2 linked regions of the Nothobranchius furzeri genome follow. The protein of the gene in region 2 interacts with the protein of the main gene of each other region in a pairwise test. Links are inferred from orthologs where the notes say so. Each region holds a gene or a part of one and is shown on either strand. Other genes may lie near its edges.

Region 1 (4,316 bases), on a different chromosome or scaffold from region 2:
GGTATGCAGGTCTACTACAGGTGTGCTCTTCTCTTGTGGAACATGTTTCCAGTGTCCATCCACTGGGCAGACCCCCCCCCCCCCCCCATCTACTTTTAGGACTAGATGTCAGGCTTTTTTAAAATAAAGATTGTATTGAAAGAGTGTGTTTCACACATTACCTTCTAGACACTGGCCTTTGAAGAAAACTTTCTGTTCCAACCGAAACTTCTGCAGCTGCTCAGCAGAAGAGAAGTTCAGCTCTCTGGACACCGCTTTGCATTTCAGGATCTTCTTTGGGACACGAGCTGAGACAGGAGAGGAGACATCACGGTTAGGTCAACACGTCCAAACTACTGGATATTATCAACCATCAGATTTGTTTTGGAGCCCACAGGACAGGGTGAAACCCATCACTACTGAATATTTACTTTTTATTAACCCTCTCGAGCTTAAAATAAGTTTTGATAAAAGGAAAAACTGCTCATGAAATACGTATGTGGAGTAACCAGGTAGGTAGGTTTTAACGTTGCAAATCTGCAACGCCTGCCTCCTGAGGGTTGAAATGATCTAGAACAGCTGTGAATAGAGTCTAATAATATAATTATTGATTTGTTAAACTTGGAAATAGAGGGAAAAAAATTCAGCTGCAGAAAAAAAAGGAGGGCAAAAACAAATCCTAACTTTTATCATTAGAGATAGTGTCCCTTTTTGGTAATTCTTTTGAACGTTGATTGGTTAAATGGGTGTTAAATAAGGCACTGGTTGTGTGGGAGATTAGTTGAATTTGCTTTTTGGGCGTAGAAATGTAGAGGTAGTCAGAAACTCAAAGTATTTGCCAGATTATTTTCTTAATCACCTCTTTACCCTTTGTTTAACATGTTTCTCCTTTAAAATCAAAGATAAGCGAGCTGAGAGATCTGAGGAATGTGAAGCGGTTATGTGAATTTTGTTTTGTCACACTTTGTGCCAATTTGTTTTTACTCCCATATGGAGTCTCAAATAAAAGTAATGAGCGTGTCATTTACCCATCTACTGTATAATGTATGCTGCGATTTACCTTCATGTTCGACTCCAGGTACAGACAGGTCCTCTGTTCCCTGCCACAGCACCTTACCCGTCTCTGCATCCCGAAGGTTCATCCAATTTCTGCCAGCACGATGTTAAGTAAAAACAGGCAAACACGGCAAAGAGAAATGGAACCAGACCCTTTCTGCACCCACCCTGATTGTTCCTGGGCAAAATTCAACATTGAACCAGAAAAAAAACATTTAATCCAGTTTCTCAGAAAAGGTCCAACAACAAACAGCAACAGTCTGCAAAATTCTCTGGGAACAAATGGGAAATATTTAAATCTCGCTGAAATTATGAGCTTCCTGGCATCTTACAGTTGTTCGTGCCTTTGCAGTTCTGGGGTCCTCGGCTTTGGAACCACAAGAAATCAAACAGTCCACATCGCTGCCCACCTTTAAAGCAAGGCATAAGCTGCATTTGAGATCTGTTTCTTCGTTGTTTTTATTTACATTTTAATGTTTTCGATCACTATTTAAATTGTTTTAACCTCTTTTTTTTAATTGTTTTTTTATGTTTTCATCTCTGTATTTTATTATAGAGCTGTTTTATTGTGCTGCTTCTTTGCACTATGTTCAGCACCTTGGACCCCCTTCATTGGGGGTGGGAAGAGGCTTTATAAATAAAATGATTGATTGAAACACCATCCAACCTAGAAACTCCCTCTAAACTCAGACGACTCAGAACATGGGCAGTGTCTGGATATCTATAAGCATTTGAGTAAAATCACAGATTGAAAAAAGTAACAGCTGCAGCTCATGGCATCACTTACGGACATCCCAGCTTCCTCAAGTAAACTATTCCTCCTGCTTCGTGCAAACAAAATATATTAAAATTAATGCATTTTTTTATTTTCTTTTGATGAGATTGACGATTTTCTCTAGAATCCGACCAGATGGCAGAGGTGCTGATGGGGTTCACCGGTAAAGTTGAACATGCCACAGAAATCACCTCTTACAATATTTGTTGTCATCACGTAAAACATTATAAAAGTCATCACCACACCACACAGCTGTCATGATGAACTCACGTTTGGTGCTACAGTGAACAGAGTGCTGACTTTATGAAATATTTTCCTCCCTCAAAATCAAGACGGTGCTCGTGGCCAAAACTTTGGCTCCAATTAAAGGTGGAGTTGAATGTTCCACTCTGCGGCAGAACCACTTAAAAGTTTCTAGTTTGATTCAAGGACTTTTAAAAGGTACAGCCAAAAGAAACGGTTGCTAGCAAAGGTCCTGTTCAGGTTGGGTAGCAGCACACACAGGGGGCCAGCTGCAGCACCAATCCACCTGAAGTCCTCACGCAAAGCTGCTTACATATGGAGCTAACGGAACTAGCAGCTTCCACGACACGCTCAGACAACATGTTTGATCGGTAACAGCCCCATAAAACCGAATTTAATCAGTCACACCAACAGGCAGCAACTTACAGGTTGTTAGCACGTCGGAAATTTTGCCATTTAACGGTTAGTTAGCATGAACAGCTAGCTGTTTTAGAATCTTAGGAGCCGACTTCTAACTGCAGCAGTAGTTATAACAACACATCAAGCTTAACCGTGAAAAACATTACCATCACCCAGTGGAAGGATACAGTTTAAAGCCCTTCAAAATCTCCTTGGCCCTTTCCTCACTCCGAGACATCTCGGGACAGTTTCCGTTTATTACCGATTATCCAGAATGTGGGGGGGAAATGACGCCGTTAACTTTATCGTAGCAGGCCAACCGGACAGTCGAAATTCGCCAGGAATAGAGCAGGCAATACGAAATTAATCCAGAACAGTTAGACTACAGGATAAATCCGATTCCAATAATGCAATCAGCTAAACATACCCGCCCACGGACAGACAGCTCTCACAGCCACTCAGTGGGAACGAGAACTACTACGAACCAATCACAGCGCGTGAAAGAAAAGTAGGCGGGACGGAAACGGATAGAGCGTTTCGCCGTTAAAACCAAACACCAGTTTCCTCCGTAAGCGATTCCGTACTCTCACCTTATTCCAAAAATGCATCCTTTAACAATTAAGAACTGTTCTTTTGTGGACAGGAACTGCAATAATAAAATCCTTAGATGTTGGCTCACTGACGCCCTCTTTCCCTTACCTCTTAGAAGACGGGAATTAGTGCGTCAATTTAGTAATTCTGATGTTAAAAACATTAGATGCAACTATCCCAAATTCCCAATCCCTCCTAAAGCCAAGGAAGTTCATTTTAAAACTATAAACAGTATTTATCCTTGCAAAGATTTCTTGCAGTCTAAATTTAATATTGGAGAGAACAATTGTGCCTTTAGCACTTCTAATATAGACACTGAGATACATTTATTTTTCACATGCATCTTTACCAAAATTTTCTGGGATAGTTTTCACTCGTGGTTAACGCATAATAATTTCATTATACGCTCCTTATCTTTTTCTGACATCAAGAATGGTATTAGTTTGGAAAATAAAATGCAGCAATTCACTGTCAATAATTTGATTATTTTCGCCAAATTCTTTATACACAAATGTAAATTTGGCAACATCAAACCGATCTTTATTGTTTTTTTTTTTAAAGAACTTGCATCCTTTATGGATTCTCTTAAATTATGTAGTTCCAAGAAAGCCATTTGGCTCTATAACAATTTGGTAAATGTTTCCTTTACCCCTAAAAATGTTGATGTAATATATATACACACACACACACACACACACATATATATTTATATATATATATATATAGTTATGATTTCTGCAGGTTGATATTGAGCTAGGTTAATATTATTGTTTCTGTTTGTACACCTGCTTTATTTTGTCATGCTCAGAATTCAACTGTAAATATTGATTCTTATGTAAGCCTGTAAGCTTTATTGGTTAAATAAAACTTGTTTAAAAACGTAAGCGATTCCGCCATATTGGCAGGGTAAACTTGTCAAAAGTACAAACCAACACAAGCCTTCCATGCAGCATGCTTCAATAGGATGGGTTCCAGTCAGTTGGAACAGGATCTTTAATTACCTTTATGCTCTGGGCTTTAACCACATTCAACTAACATTTTATTTTGTTATTTTAAGCTCTTTTAACTAGCACTGTAACTGGTTTTGATTGCTAACAGGTTGCTGCTGCTGAATGACTTTATATGAACATAAGTTTTTAGATAATAAAATCATATTTTAAATGCAATTAAAAGATTAAACAGGCCAAGCCATTCAGGGTCAGAAATGAACTTTAAGGATGTATTTTTGAAGTGTTGAAAAAACATTTTGCAGGTTGCTTATCTGGATTGCATC
Region 2 (3,908 bases):
AAGATCTCCACATCTGTGAAAAACTGTGGGACCTTTAGCTGCAAAAAACAGACACAACTGGACTGTCAGATTACTGTGGCACTCATCAGGGGTTGTGTAAAATATCTGATGTTGTCAAGCGGAGGATGCACCTGTAGCTGAGCCCATAGGTCTCTGGCCTCCCGATCTCCATATGATTTCTCCACCAAGTTGAGTTGGTGCTGTAGACGGTGCTGGCAGTAAAATGACACCCAGTCATCCTGCCATTCATTCTCCTTGGAAAAGTGGAGAGGGATCAAAATTTAGATTTATTCTTGAAGATATGTATAAAAGACATGTGCACTGCAGTATTTGTTTAGTGTTTAACCTGCGGTAAATATCCACAGCATGTAGCTACATCAAAGCCAAATTTCTCTACAGCAGCCGCCTCTGACTGTCCAGCTCCTTTACCTGAAAACAACACAGGTTAAATCAGAGGGAACCCCGCTTCAAGACTCAAAGTGTGACTTGTTGCATTTCTACACACATTTCCAAGCAATTATACAAATGTAAAATGAATTACCCACAGTCTGCTGCTCCTTCTGTTGATTTCCCATGAGCCTTTTGTTGTGTAGATGCAGATCTGCAAGTTGCTCTCCAAGCTGCTTTGAGAACCTGCTCAATGAAATAAGAATTTATATATTTTCACATGAATGATACGTCAGAAACAAGCTATAGTGTACATGAAGACTCACTCACTTGTTAAGACCGTTCATGTCCAGATGCTCCATCACAAATACACATCCTCCCTTATCCAGCTCAACCACCTTTATGGGCTTTGGTACTTTAACGGTTTTGGTTTTAAAGATTGCTTCCAAGCTTGCCATCTCTCCATCAAACATCCGTTTGGCCTGAATAACACAAACGTATTTTATATTAATTATTGTATAACTATTATTGTTTATTAATGTAGAATCAGGTTGATTAAATGTTTCCATGCCTGAAAATAACAGCTGTTTATTAAAACAACAAATCATTTAATAGCTGACATAATACGTATATCTAAAAAAAAGTGCAAATGAGTATTCCGAGATGTTATTGCAATTTCTGAACTTAAAAATGACCTCGCTCTTGCGGTTAATCTTTACAAACACTCTTCCTGTGTCGGTCTCATAACTCTGACCCTCGCTGATACATCCTCCTCCTGCGTGACCAGTGGATTTCAGCACGCTCGTGCCTAACTCTTTCTTTAACTTCGCTTCCATGATTATCTCTCGGCTCCTCTTCTCTTGCAACTCTAGTCTCAACAACGTGTGGCCGATTTCGACGTTCCGATGGCGTCGCGACTCTGATGTCGTTTCAGTCAACGAGGATTTTAGTCTTGTTTTGCTTCCACTTTATTCACGTGATCTTAAACAACCAATCAGATGCAGACCAAGGAGGAATGAAATCAAATTGGACCTATCAGTGTCAAGACGAAGGGTCACGTGAGCGTCTCCATGGCGTCAAGTGCGGCAGCCTCTAACATGATTTAAACATGTTGAAATGCTTTGCTTGCGCAGAAAAAGGCGAAATGAACAACAATGAAATGTGTTTACTCCTCGGAGCGACTGGCTCAGGAAAGTCTTTATTACTTAAACGCCTACAAGATATCCTTTGTGCTCGTCTAAGTGTTTTAAACTAGTTATCTGTGAAGGCTAATGCAGCTAGCTAAATGCTATGCTATTTACTACTTTAAACCAAATGTTTCTTTGCATTGAAATGAAGCTACAGTAACTGAACATTTCCTTACAGATTTCTCACTACTTAGTTTGCATGGTTCATGTGAAGTGGGCTCTCCTCCTCCCACTCTCCCCACAGTAAGCGCTGAGGAAATCCAGTTCTAATAGCACGCGAACACGCTTGTTTATGATGTGACTCCTCATCTATTTGATCACCTCAGGTAGGAACAAATCTGACAGACCTCACCCTAAAGAAGAAGAAGGTGACAGTAAGGGAGCTGGGAGGCTGCATGGGCCCTATATGGCCCAGCTACTTCACAGACTGCTTCTCTCTCATTGTAAGACACTTGAATATATACAGCATTTTTTTAAATACTCAATAAGGAAACAAATCATTTTGATCAAATATTTTTTATGGTTTTCTCATAGTTCGTCGTGGATTCATCTAACATAGCTCAGATATCCTCCTCGTGCATCCTGTTGCTGTCTGTGCTCTCAGCTGAGCCTCTCTGCCGTGCATCTGTGCTTATTCTCTTCAACAAGAGGTAGGAATTTCATAAACATCAGTTCCTACAAATGCAAATAGTCAAAAACACAAGACATTTATGCAAAATCACAACTGTGTGTTAGGAGAAACCCTTTTTTCATGCCATTTTTGTCTTGGTTTTCTTTCTTCCCCAGAGACATTCCTTGCATCATGAGCCTTGTAGAGATAAAGTCACTGTTCCGGATAGATGACATCATTGCAAGTGCTCCTCAGTCCATCACAACAAAGGAAGTTAGTGCCAGCTCTGGGCAAGGACTGCAAGAAGTATTGAGCTGGCTGGAGTCCGTCACAATCAAGTGATCATGATCAGGAAAGGCAAAAGTCTAAAAAGCCCTTTGGATAAAGACATCAATATTCTCATTTCCAAAACACTGTTATTGGAGGATCTGAATGCTATCTTTAGGACTGGAGGCTGTAAAAGTGGCTAAAGATATAAGAAAAGAAAAACTGCACTGGGTCTTTGGTACCATTCAGTACTGATTAGAGTGAGAACGTGATCTGATGCGAGATGAGACAACTGCATAAGTGACCATTGTGACTGGAGTTGGGATATCATCAGTATACATTTCTGCTCCAACCATTGGTCATTTAGAGATCCCTTCTCTGTTCACATTCTTGTCTGGTAAACAGAGAACTGAGAGAATCATGAGTGGTGTGACAGCCAACAGCTTTAGGCAGACAGAGCAATATGGAGTTTTGGTTCAAGTTACTTTTCTACACACCAGAGGGTACAGGCCAGGGACATCATCAAAGAACAAGGCACAAAAGGCAAATGGATCAGAATTAGGATCAGAATCACTCTAATCATTTTTATGATAGGAAACCAAACTGGAGCTCTCAGAGTTTGTGAATATCAAAATAAATCACAACTTGAAAAAGATCGTGCCACCTTCAGTAAAATGGGGTTCACATTTAAATGCTTGCTTTGCTGCTTGTAGCACTTACCCCAATACTTAAAAGTTTCTTTAGCAGAATATCAGCCCCATCCAAGGAGTATGGACTGTTTTCAGCAGGCTAGAGAAGATGCCCGATACTTCCTACAGACATTTTAAGACCTGAAGTCCGTCATTCCTGGAAAGACTTGTGCAAATCTTAAGAAGTTTGGATGGACAATGAAAGGGACATGCTGCCATCAGGTGGAATAAGGTGCTTAAGAGGGCTACAATCACACAGTAAATACTAGCAAATGGAATAGGGAGCGGATTTTTACTCCCCATCATCAGCCAGTTTTTTTCATCTGTATATTGTTTTTATTTTATTTCTATCACAAATTCCAATATCAGAAAATAGTTTCATTTGATTTCATTTCTGAACATCATTTTATTATTTTCCATATAATTCAGAAACGACCATAGTGATCGTAAGAATGTTCTGATGCTTGTGGGAGATGAGGGAATGAAAAGTACTCATCTGGAAAACACACAGAATTGTAGAAATTACTGCTACATTTGATGGGAGTTTGTAAATCACAAGCAATTAATAAAACTTCAATTTTCCATTTTAAATATCGTCGTACTTAGAAACTGAATCACAACACTTTAATCCGTTCCTTCTGCACTTCGTCTCACTTCAGTGAATGAATATGTAGATTGTTAAACCGGTCAGTTCTGGTCCACGCAGGTTAAATCCGTTAGAACAGAAACATTTCAGGCACTAAATGCATTGTCTTAATAACTTTTGCT

What was found.
Region 1: the proteins of arl16 (region 2) and pde6d interact in binary tests that used the Homo sapiens proteins (3 or more experiments, as listed by UniProt). The two-hybrid records come from large-scale screens. The link is inferred for Nothobranchius furzeri from reciprocal best matches to the Homo sapiens genes ARL16 and PDE6D.

Annotation. Positions count from the first base shown.
Region 1 is NC_091756.1:55,091,913-55,096,228, reverse strand, and holds the start of pde6d (retinal rod rhodopsin-sensitive cGMP 3',5'-cyclic phosphodiesterase subunit delta), read right to left. Parts: upstream 2,897-4,316; 5' UTR 2,691-2,896; coding exon 2,641-2,690; intron 1,129-2,640; coding exon 1,040-1,128; intron 288-1,039; coding exon 162-287; intron 1-161. UniProt on the Homo sapiens protein: Promotes the release of prenylated target proteins from cellular membranes. Modulates the activity of prenylated or palmitoylated Ras family members by regulating their subcellular location.
Region 2 is NC_091745.1:1,693,308-1,697,215, forward strand, and holds arl16 (ADP-ribosylation factor-like protein 16), read left to right. Parts: upstream 1-1,416; 5' UTR 1,417-1,495; coding exon 1,496-1,607; intron 1,608-1,761; coding exon 1,762-1,817; intron 1,818-1,900; coding exon 1,901-2,017; intron 2,018-2,108; coding exon 2,109-2,224; intron 2,225-2,360; coding exon 2,361-2,526; 3' UTR 2,527-3,104; downstream 3,105-3,908. Other genes in the region: fn3krp (ketosamine-3-kinase), read right to left, coding at 1-38, 132-254, 347-429, 542-633, 718-869, 1,083-1,223. UniProt on the Homo sapiens protein: May suppress the RNA sensing activity of RIGI in a GTP-dependent.